Oryzias latipes: one gene and its partner. The protein of the gene in region 2 purifies or fractionates together with the protein of the main gene of each other region. This does not show direct contact. Links are inferred from orthologs where the notes say so. Each region holds a gene or a part of one and is shown on either strand. Other genes may lie near its edges.

Region 1 (4,347 bases), on a different chromosome or scaffold from region 2:
CCTCTGAGATTCACAGTCGCCTGGCCAGTGAGGGGGGAGGCATGCAGGGGACCCATGATTCCAGAGCACAGGGCTCCAAGATCAACAGCGCCCCCGTGTGGCTAGGAGGGGATAAACCAACGCAGGATACCAGGAACTGCTGTTGAGATGTGGACAGATAAACCGAAAGGAATATTTTGATATATTTGCTCTTTAAGATAAAAAATATTAATAAATCTGCAGTGAATTCATTTTGTTACTAATATTTGATGAAAACATATATCCTACAATAATTGAGCCAAATAAAAAACTATGGGTTTTATTTTTTAAGATAATAACATAAAGATGTTGAATTAGTCATCAGTGACTCGGTCATCACCATTTTTTATCCAGGATGTATTTCCTTGCCCGAAGAATTTTTTTTTGTGTTTTACTTCTTTTGCTGTTAAAATCAATAAAATAAAGTTGAAATCTGTGATATTAAATCGTTAAAATGTGGCTGGATGGTAACTGGAGAAACCCCTCTCTATCATTAGGATCTTAAGAAAAACTGTACAAAAACTGTGGTGTTATATGTTAAAGACAGGTAATAAAGTATTGTTTTATTGGAGAAATGAACCGTGGTTAAGGTTCTCAATCTGAAATGACGTTAAATGTTTGGCTTTCATAAGATATGAGGTTAAAAGGAAGTCATAGAAGTGGAGCTTTTAGGACCAAGTTTCAGGAATTTCTCCAAACCTCCACATGTAACAACTTTTAACAACTGAAAGGAAAATTTTTCAATCTACGTGTTGTCCTTTTTCGTTAGATCAACAGCCTGAATTGTACGAAAAAAATGTAGAATAAAAAAATGATCAAAGCACTATTTTTCTTATCAATAAAATATTTTAGTTTTATTTTAACCTAAGCAAGGATCAATATTCAGGGGAAAAAATAAGTAGCACTTGTGCAAAAATGTGTTTGGTTATAAACATATAATCGTAGGTTAGTTGTTGTGCATTGTGTTGTGTGTCGTTATTGTAAAGAAGTTATAACAAAAATGTCTAGAAAACTATACAGGCTTCTCTGTTGAGGGCAGCATATACAACATATCCAACTTTATTTAGAAAGCACCTTTTTATATTAAAGTGGTGCAAAGTGCTTAAAACATTTTAAGAAAAAACAAGTAAAACTATTTTTGTTTTAATATGTAATTGATGTCCACAAAACTGATTTTAAATATCAAAAAGGAATATGCAGACTTTGCGTAGTTTTGCATTTTAAATAAATGCAGAAAAAATACAGCAAAAACAACCTTAGGTCAAATATTAATTATTTGTTAAATGTCAGCGTGTTTAAATAATTTTTCAAAAACATGGAAACAGTAAAAATATTGTTAATAAGTGCAGCTGAAAGTTATTAAATGCTGATAAAATACAGGATACACTTTAGGATTATTTATTTGTTGTCGAAACTACATTTTCCAGAAGAAGCTGGGACATTGCGTCACCGGAAAACGACAATTTCCTATAAATTCACTTCCGGTTACTGGCAGAGTCCTTTCCTGTCCACGGCCCGTTCGAAGATGGCGGTGCAAATCTCTAAGAAGAGGAAGGTTAGCGGGACTATATTTCTCTTTCATCGCTGAATATCACGAAAATAACATCATTCTATAAAGGATAAGACGTTTAATCCTCAGTCCCGGTGTTTACCCGGCCCGTTGTGGTTCCTTGCGAGGAGGATTATAGCAGATGCTGGAGCTGCGGCTTCCCTCATTTCGTTAGCTAGCATGGCTCTGTGAGCCGGGGACTGGACCGGTGAGCGGTCTGAACAGGTTCTAACCCGCACCGTAAAGTCAGGACGGCTGGTTTCCAGGCGGATAAACCAGAGTCTGCAAATAAAAAGAAGAATTTGATCTGTTTCGACAATATTTGTTATGTTAGCTTTGCTAGCATGCGAGTCAGTTAGCCACATGTACTCATACACTACAAAGATTAGGGGAATTAAATAACTATTTTTGGAGCCACAAATTCATCATCATGTTTAGGTATACATTAAAGCCAAGCAGAAATTAGGTAAAACTCATTTTTGTTAATAGTACTACTGACTCTTTAATTAGCCCATATTTTTTTACTTCAAATGCCTGATTGCTAGAATCAGATTTCATCATTTATATCAGGCTATTGATGGTAATTTAGGCTTACCTTAGTTTGTCATTTATATATTTTGCCTTTTCTTTCTCAGATTTATTGGGTTCAGGGTCACAGTTGGTAGTTTCTGTACCTTTTTATATAACATGGCAGAGGCACATTTTCTTTAAGATCTCATTTATTTGCACTGTCTACTAATATTCTGGCTTTGAATGACTTTGATAAACTGATGCTATCTTCTTCATTTCTGAGCACTTCGTGTCTGTCAAAACTCCCATGAATGAGCAGAACCTCCCTCTGGTGTCTTGAAACAGTTCGTCTCAGACGGTATTTTCAAAGCCGAGCTGAATGAGTTTCTGACTCGCGAACTGGCTGAAGATGGCTACTCCGGTGTGGAGGTGCGGGTGACTCCAACCAGGACCGAGATCATCATCCTGGCCACAAGGTGCGTGTTGGATCAATGTTTAAAACAATTTTGACTTTTACACTCCGAGCCTCTGCGTCAGGTTCAGAGGCAACTGTCTTAGCTATTAAATAAAGAACGCAGCAGTTTCTCACCCGTGATCTTAAATGTTTCCGTCTTGTTCAGGACTCAGAATGTTCTCGGAGAGAAGGGTCGTCGGATCAGAGAGCTGACCGCTGTGGTCCAGAAGAGGTTCGGTTTTCCTGAGGGCAGCGTGGAGGTGAGACAACCTACAGGATTTGCTGTTTAGATTCACTTTTGTAATCCCTAATCAGTGGGTTAGACAGTGTTATTATTATAGAAAGTCTTTAGCAGAAGTAATCGGCAGATCCTCCGGCTGAAATAACTGAGGATCGTTGTTGAAGTCACTCCTGTAGTTTGTTTTCCCACCCGATCCCCTTCAGTGATGATACGATGACGAGACAGAGCAGGACTTTATCTGGGTCTGTGAGTTCTGCTTCGGGTCTGCGTTCTGTGGACCCGCTGCCGTTCCTCAGATCAGGAAGTCCTTTAAACAGGAAGACAAGAGGCATTTGTCTGAGAAGGGTGGACGGACGGACCATCATTGAAGTCGTTTCTGTGCAAACCTGAAGATGCAGCGACGTCTTGTTCTGTTTTTTCTAGCTTTATGCTGAGAAAGTTGCCACTCGTGGGCTGTGCGCCATCGCTCAGGCTGAGTCTCTGCGCTACAAGCTGCTGGGAGGTCTGGCTGTGAGGAGGTAAGCAGTGCTGCTGATGACCTTCTCTGAAAGTACAAACCATCATAGAGCCTGTTTGAGAATGGAGGGAAAAAAGAACTGCACTAAAAAGTATATTTATAGTAAGAATAAACAAAACGCTTCCGTGAAAAAAATTAGTGCGGTTCAAATCTTGCCTGCAAACTTCATAATTGGATCTTCAAAATAAAAGACACATCTGCTTCTGCTCCAAACATCTGCTTGTGTTCTCCAAAACTCCATTTGATGGAAGTGGAGTCTTCAGGTTTACATCATCCTGTTACATCAGACAGAATTGTAAAAGCGCCCTGTAACCGCACTGCATTATGGGAGTCTGTTAGCAGTCTGAGGTGTTTCAGACTTCAGGTGTGGTGCTGTTGTGTTCTGGCTTTCTCCTCAAGCTGTCTTTGAGGTCATGAACAACCTGGAAAGTTTTGGGATTTAAAAAATGTAATTTCTAACCCTTGAAAGGTCTTTTGTAAGGTTTTGAAAAAGTCATGACATTTTAAAGATTTTGGGTTTATAAACATTTTAAAAAACACTTAAAGCTGAAATTCTAGTTGAAATTGTTTAACCTAACCTCAGAAGTTGAACCTCACATGATCGGTGAGCGACAGCTGCTGAGCGCTGCACAATCCAGTCAGAACTTTTGGAAAACTGGTCATGATGGCGTTACTATGGAAGCTTATTGCATTCCATAAAATAAAAACAGGTGAACTTTGTTCAAATCTTTTCTGTGATCTTTGTTCTAATATTTTTAAGAACTACAAAAGCAAAAAAACACCAAACAGGCTGGACTCTAACCTCGTCTGCTCGTGAAAACTATAAGAAAAGCCACAAAGTGTCTGTTTGTGCTCGTCACAATTCTGTTTTGCTCTTCCTACAAACATTACAGAGCAAAACGTTGGAAGTCTGAAGGATTGACCTGTATGAATTGGTTAGTTTGTGTCAATCCCAACAACAAAGCCCTGAATGATGCTCATGTTGTGGGTGTGGCCAACTTAACCTTTTTTTTTCTAGTTTTTGCTTTCATTTTTTCTGAAATCACTCATTTTTGGAG
Region 2 (3,649 bases):
TTGATTAGGACACTCAGGTGATCACACAAACACAATCAAGGACAGCAAAACACCCCTTTTGGGTGGTCCCCTGTGCTGAAACGAAGAGGTTGCTCAGTCCAACACCTCTGTATTGACCTGAGCTGCGATGCTGGCAGGTGTAACATTCAGGTGCAGGTCGTACTGTTGGTCCAGGCCCAGGTAGCTGTCACTCATCACATAAAGCGTGTAGATGTACCTGAGAACAGAGAGAAGATGCAGCATTGTCACATGATGAAGTCTACCCCTACGCTTAAAGCATCTAGAGCAGGGGTGACCACACTTTTTCGGCATGCAAGATATATATATATATACATTTTCTGTGAAATACTATACTACAAAATACACCCACAAAGATATGCACCATTTGCAAACACAAAAAAGTGGTTTTCCTGACAAATTAATTCAACCCCGTGTTGCAAAAATAAGTACACCCCAGTCAGTCTTAGGAGAAAAGCCAAATTTAAGACTTATAAAATTCAATTCTAACAGGCATTCAACCACAGGTGAGTCTAATGATTCATTTAAGGGGTGTCCAGCACACAGGTGACTATAAAAGAGCATTTCTTAAACAAAAACAAAAAACCCTTCCCATTTGCCTGCAGTGTTTGTGTGGGTCTGCTGTTGCTGCCCAGTACTTTACCTTCCAGGCTTCTCTGGTGTGTAAAAGGCCACAGATGCAACAGTTCGACTGCGCACATAACCAACTCGTTTGACAGCCAGCAGCTCTCTGCGATCCACCTCCCCCAGGACTAGAAACCAGCCCTCATCCTTCACCTTGGGAAAGCGAGGAGCCACAGCCTTTCCGTCCTGCTTTTTCTGCAAGGACAGACACAAATCACATAGAGGTATGAGTAAATTTATGGCATTATGAAACAATCCGTGTCATGTTCTTGTATCTTTTCCCCAGGATGTGTCAGGCCTATTTAATTAAAAGTCATATAGTTTTTAAAAATGCATTACCTTGAATTTTTTGTTAATATTTGGCTTTAAAGAGCCTAAATATGCAAAATCAGTGTCTTATAATGTTCATTCCTCACTAAGACAAGTCCAAAGCGGTTTTTTGATCCATTCATGCATTTCTGAGTGTTCTTCTAAAAACCTGCTCTCTTAGCACAAGCGCCTTCCAATCCACGAAAATGAGTGGGTCCTCAAACTGTGATGTCACAAAGTGAGGATGAGTCTGCAATACCAGCTCCGCCCACAGGCTAACACACACATCCACTTTGTCCGTGAAGGTAGCCAAAGGTAATATATGATCATATGTATGGCTATCGTTTACTCAGAAAGGTTTAAGAACAGCAGGATATAGTGGTCAAGGACACTTGCTGAGGAACCAAAATAATATTTCAGACCGTAGGAAGGGAGAGGGGGCTCTGTCTGTTTGTTTCTCCTTATCGAGGCATCTGCCAGTTTATGACTAGAGACAAAATATATATATATATATATATATATATATATATATATATATATATATATATATATATATATATATATATATATATATGAAAAATCATGAAAAACGCCAGAGGGGAGGGGTCAATCAGTCCAGTTCTTATCTACAGCCTACTACACATATTTCTGAGACTCCAATCTCATTAGCATGATCCAAACCTTCTCTAAAAACCCACACATACATGTCCAATGCAATAAAAAACCCGGATGATGTTTAGAGATCGGGTTTATTCATTTTGCAGATTTCTACAAAATCATCGGTAATCCTGTCTCCATGTCTGGATTCATGACATCACTCCCGCTGCAAGAGCTGCATCTGATCCTCAGCCACTTCCCATGTGTTTCCGTCTCTCTGTGACCCCGTTTGAAGGCTAACTGTCCCGCATTAATGCCAGAAGGGAGAAATAAAAACAAGAATAAAATTAGGGGACCCAGCAGGCTGCATCCTGCATGCCGCAGCTGCCTTCTTTCTTCCTGGGGGGCTGGTGTGGCGGACCCAATCGGTCCAGTCCCATGGGCCATGCAACAGACCGTCCAGGGTGTACCCGCCTTCACCCAACAGTAGCTGGGGGTGCGCTCCAGCAACCCTGTTGCCCCAAAAGGGAAACAGCAGGTTGAGAAAATGGCTGGAAGTTCAGGAGAACTATTGGATCGATCCACCATACATGATTTGTATTCTACCCGCTGATCGAGTCACTGAAAACGTCATGTTGAGTCCAACCTTTCTGCCCAAATCGCACGGCTACCAGACCGCCCAGCCATGCCCGTTGCTCAAATCACGCCACACAACCTCAGATTGCGTACGTACTATTGACTTAAAATTGGAGCTCTCTTGCCAAGTCACGTTTGGGGAGATCGCAGCATTAAAAGGTCACGCTCCGAAATCACAATTAATAATTTCTCCTCCGTGATCAAGTCAGTTGGTACTTCCGTGAATTAAAAGAGACGCCATCCATACGCCACTTCCGAATCCAAGCCCCTGATGGGTTAAAGTTCAACTGGTTTCACTTCCAACACGCAAACAGGTATGTTTGGTATGTGGAGCCCAAAAACGGTTGTAGAAACTTGTGTAGCAACACACAATCGCGAGAGTTTTGAACGCCGAAGCCCGAAGCGAGTATCTGCATGTTTCTATTGACTTCATTGGAAAGTAGTCTCTTAAACGTGCATTGCTGAGGTCGGTGTGAAGGTAGCTTCAGCGTTAGCCGGTTAGTGCGCAATCTTACAGTTGAATGAGAGCTGTAACAGCTCCCATGCAAACGCTCAGAGAAGGAGCAGAAGCTAACCGTGTCCACAGGGCTTCTGCTGAGACTGCAGAGGAGGTCAAAGGTGCTGGGGCACCAGGCACACTAACCTTCTGCTGGCCCACGGTTATCCGATGCAGGCACACCTGTAGGACGTATTCCTGGTCAGCATGGATGTCCAACCAGTTCCTATCCTCACGCAGATTCTTGCTGACTATGTGGACCGGGCGCTCCATCTGTTCCTGGTTCTCCTCCCACCAGCCCTTCACACTCATTCTGACCTCCAGCATGGGGAGGTGACTCAGGAAGGCCCATGTCTGTCAGGAGAAAGGTGAGGTTCTTAGAGCTGTGTGTTCATACCGGCCCTGTAAACTGAAGCAGACGTATTGAACAGTGAATAGTCTCACCTGTGCAGCCTGGCTGGAGTGGATCTCTGAGCTGACCATGGCCGTGAAAACACTTTCGTTTCCATTGCAAGCAGCGATCAATTCAGGAAGTCCCTGGATTGTTCCAGTGAAGCCCTCCTCCTCACCTCTTCTGTTCTTTTTTGTCCATTTCCTATAGAATTGTTTAGAAAAGGAGTTTGTAGAATGTTTTCCACTAAACAAAAATTATTTTTTTTGGCAGCCCCTCTCCAATACCGCCCCTCACTTCACCCTTACTAATCTTTCTTGCTTCCTATGTGGTGTAATTATAGAATTATAATGATTATAAAAGGAGATGAGGTTGAATTTTGTTTTAAAGATCTAATTTTGATGTTGTTAAAGCCTAAATGTGTTAATATCTAAATCTAAACATTAGGGGTGTGAAAATATTTTTTTTAATTAAACCTTTATTTACCCAGGAATTGTCCCATTGAGATTAAGAATCTCTTTTTCGAGGGAGTCCTAGCTAGGGGGGAAACAATAAACTACATTTACAATAAAAATGTC

The links.
Region 1: the proteins of ascc3 (region 2) and rps3 purify together in Homo sapiens (co-immunoprecipitation; 4 studies listed by BioGRID and IntAct, with this or other methods). This does not show direct contact. The link is inferred for Oryzias latipes from reciprocal best matches to the Homo sapiens genes ASCC3 and RPS3.

Annotation. Positions count from the first base shown.
Region 1 is NC_019871.2:2,443,372-2,447,718, forward strand, and holds the start of rps3 (40S ribosomal protein S3), read left to right. Parts: upstream 1-1,460; 5' UTR 1,461-1,543; coding exon 1,544-1,573; intron 1,574-2,422; coding exon 2,423-2,553; intron 2,554-2,697; coding exon 2,698-2,791; intron 2,792-2,969; exon of another isoform or gene 2,970-3,117; intron 3,118-3,195; coding exon 3,196-3,290; intron 3,291-4,347. Other genes in the region: ras-related protein ORAB-1-like, read left to right, coding at 1-146. UniProt on the Homo sapiens protein: Component of the small ribosomal subunit. The ribosome is a large ribonucleoprotein complex responsible for the synthesis of proteins in the cell. Has endonuclease activity and plays a role in repair of damaged DNA.
Region 2 is NC_019874.2:9,654,306-9,657,954, forward strand, and holds part of ascc3 (activating signal cointegrator 1 complex subunit 3), read right to left. Parts: intron 3,276-3,649; coding exon 3,125-3,275; intron 3,035-3,124; coding exon 2,828-3,034; intron 838-2,827; coding exon 662-837; intron 218-661; coding exon 94-217; 3' UTR 1-93. UniProt on the Homo sapiens protein: ATPase involved both in DNA repair and rescue of stalled ribosomes. 3'-5' DNA helicase involved in repair of alkylated DNA: promotes DNA unwinding to generate single-stranded substrate needed for ALKBH3, enabling ALKBH3 to process alkylated N3-methylcytosine (3mC) within double-stranded regions.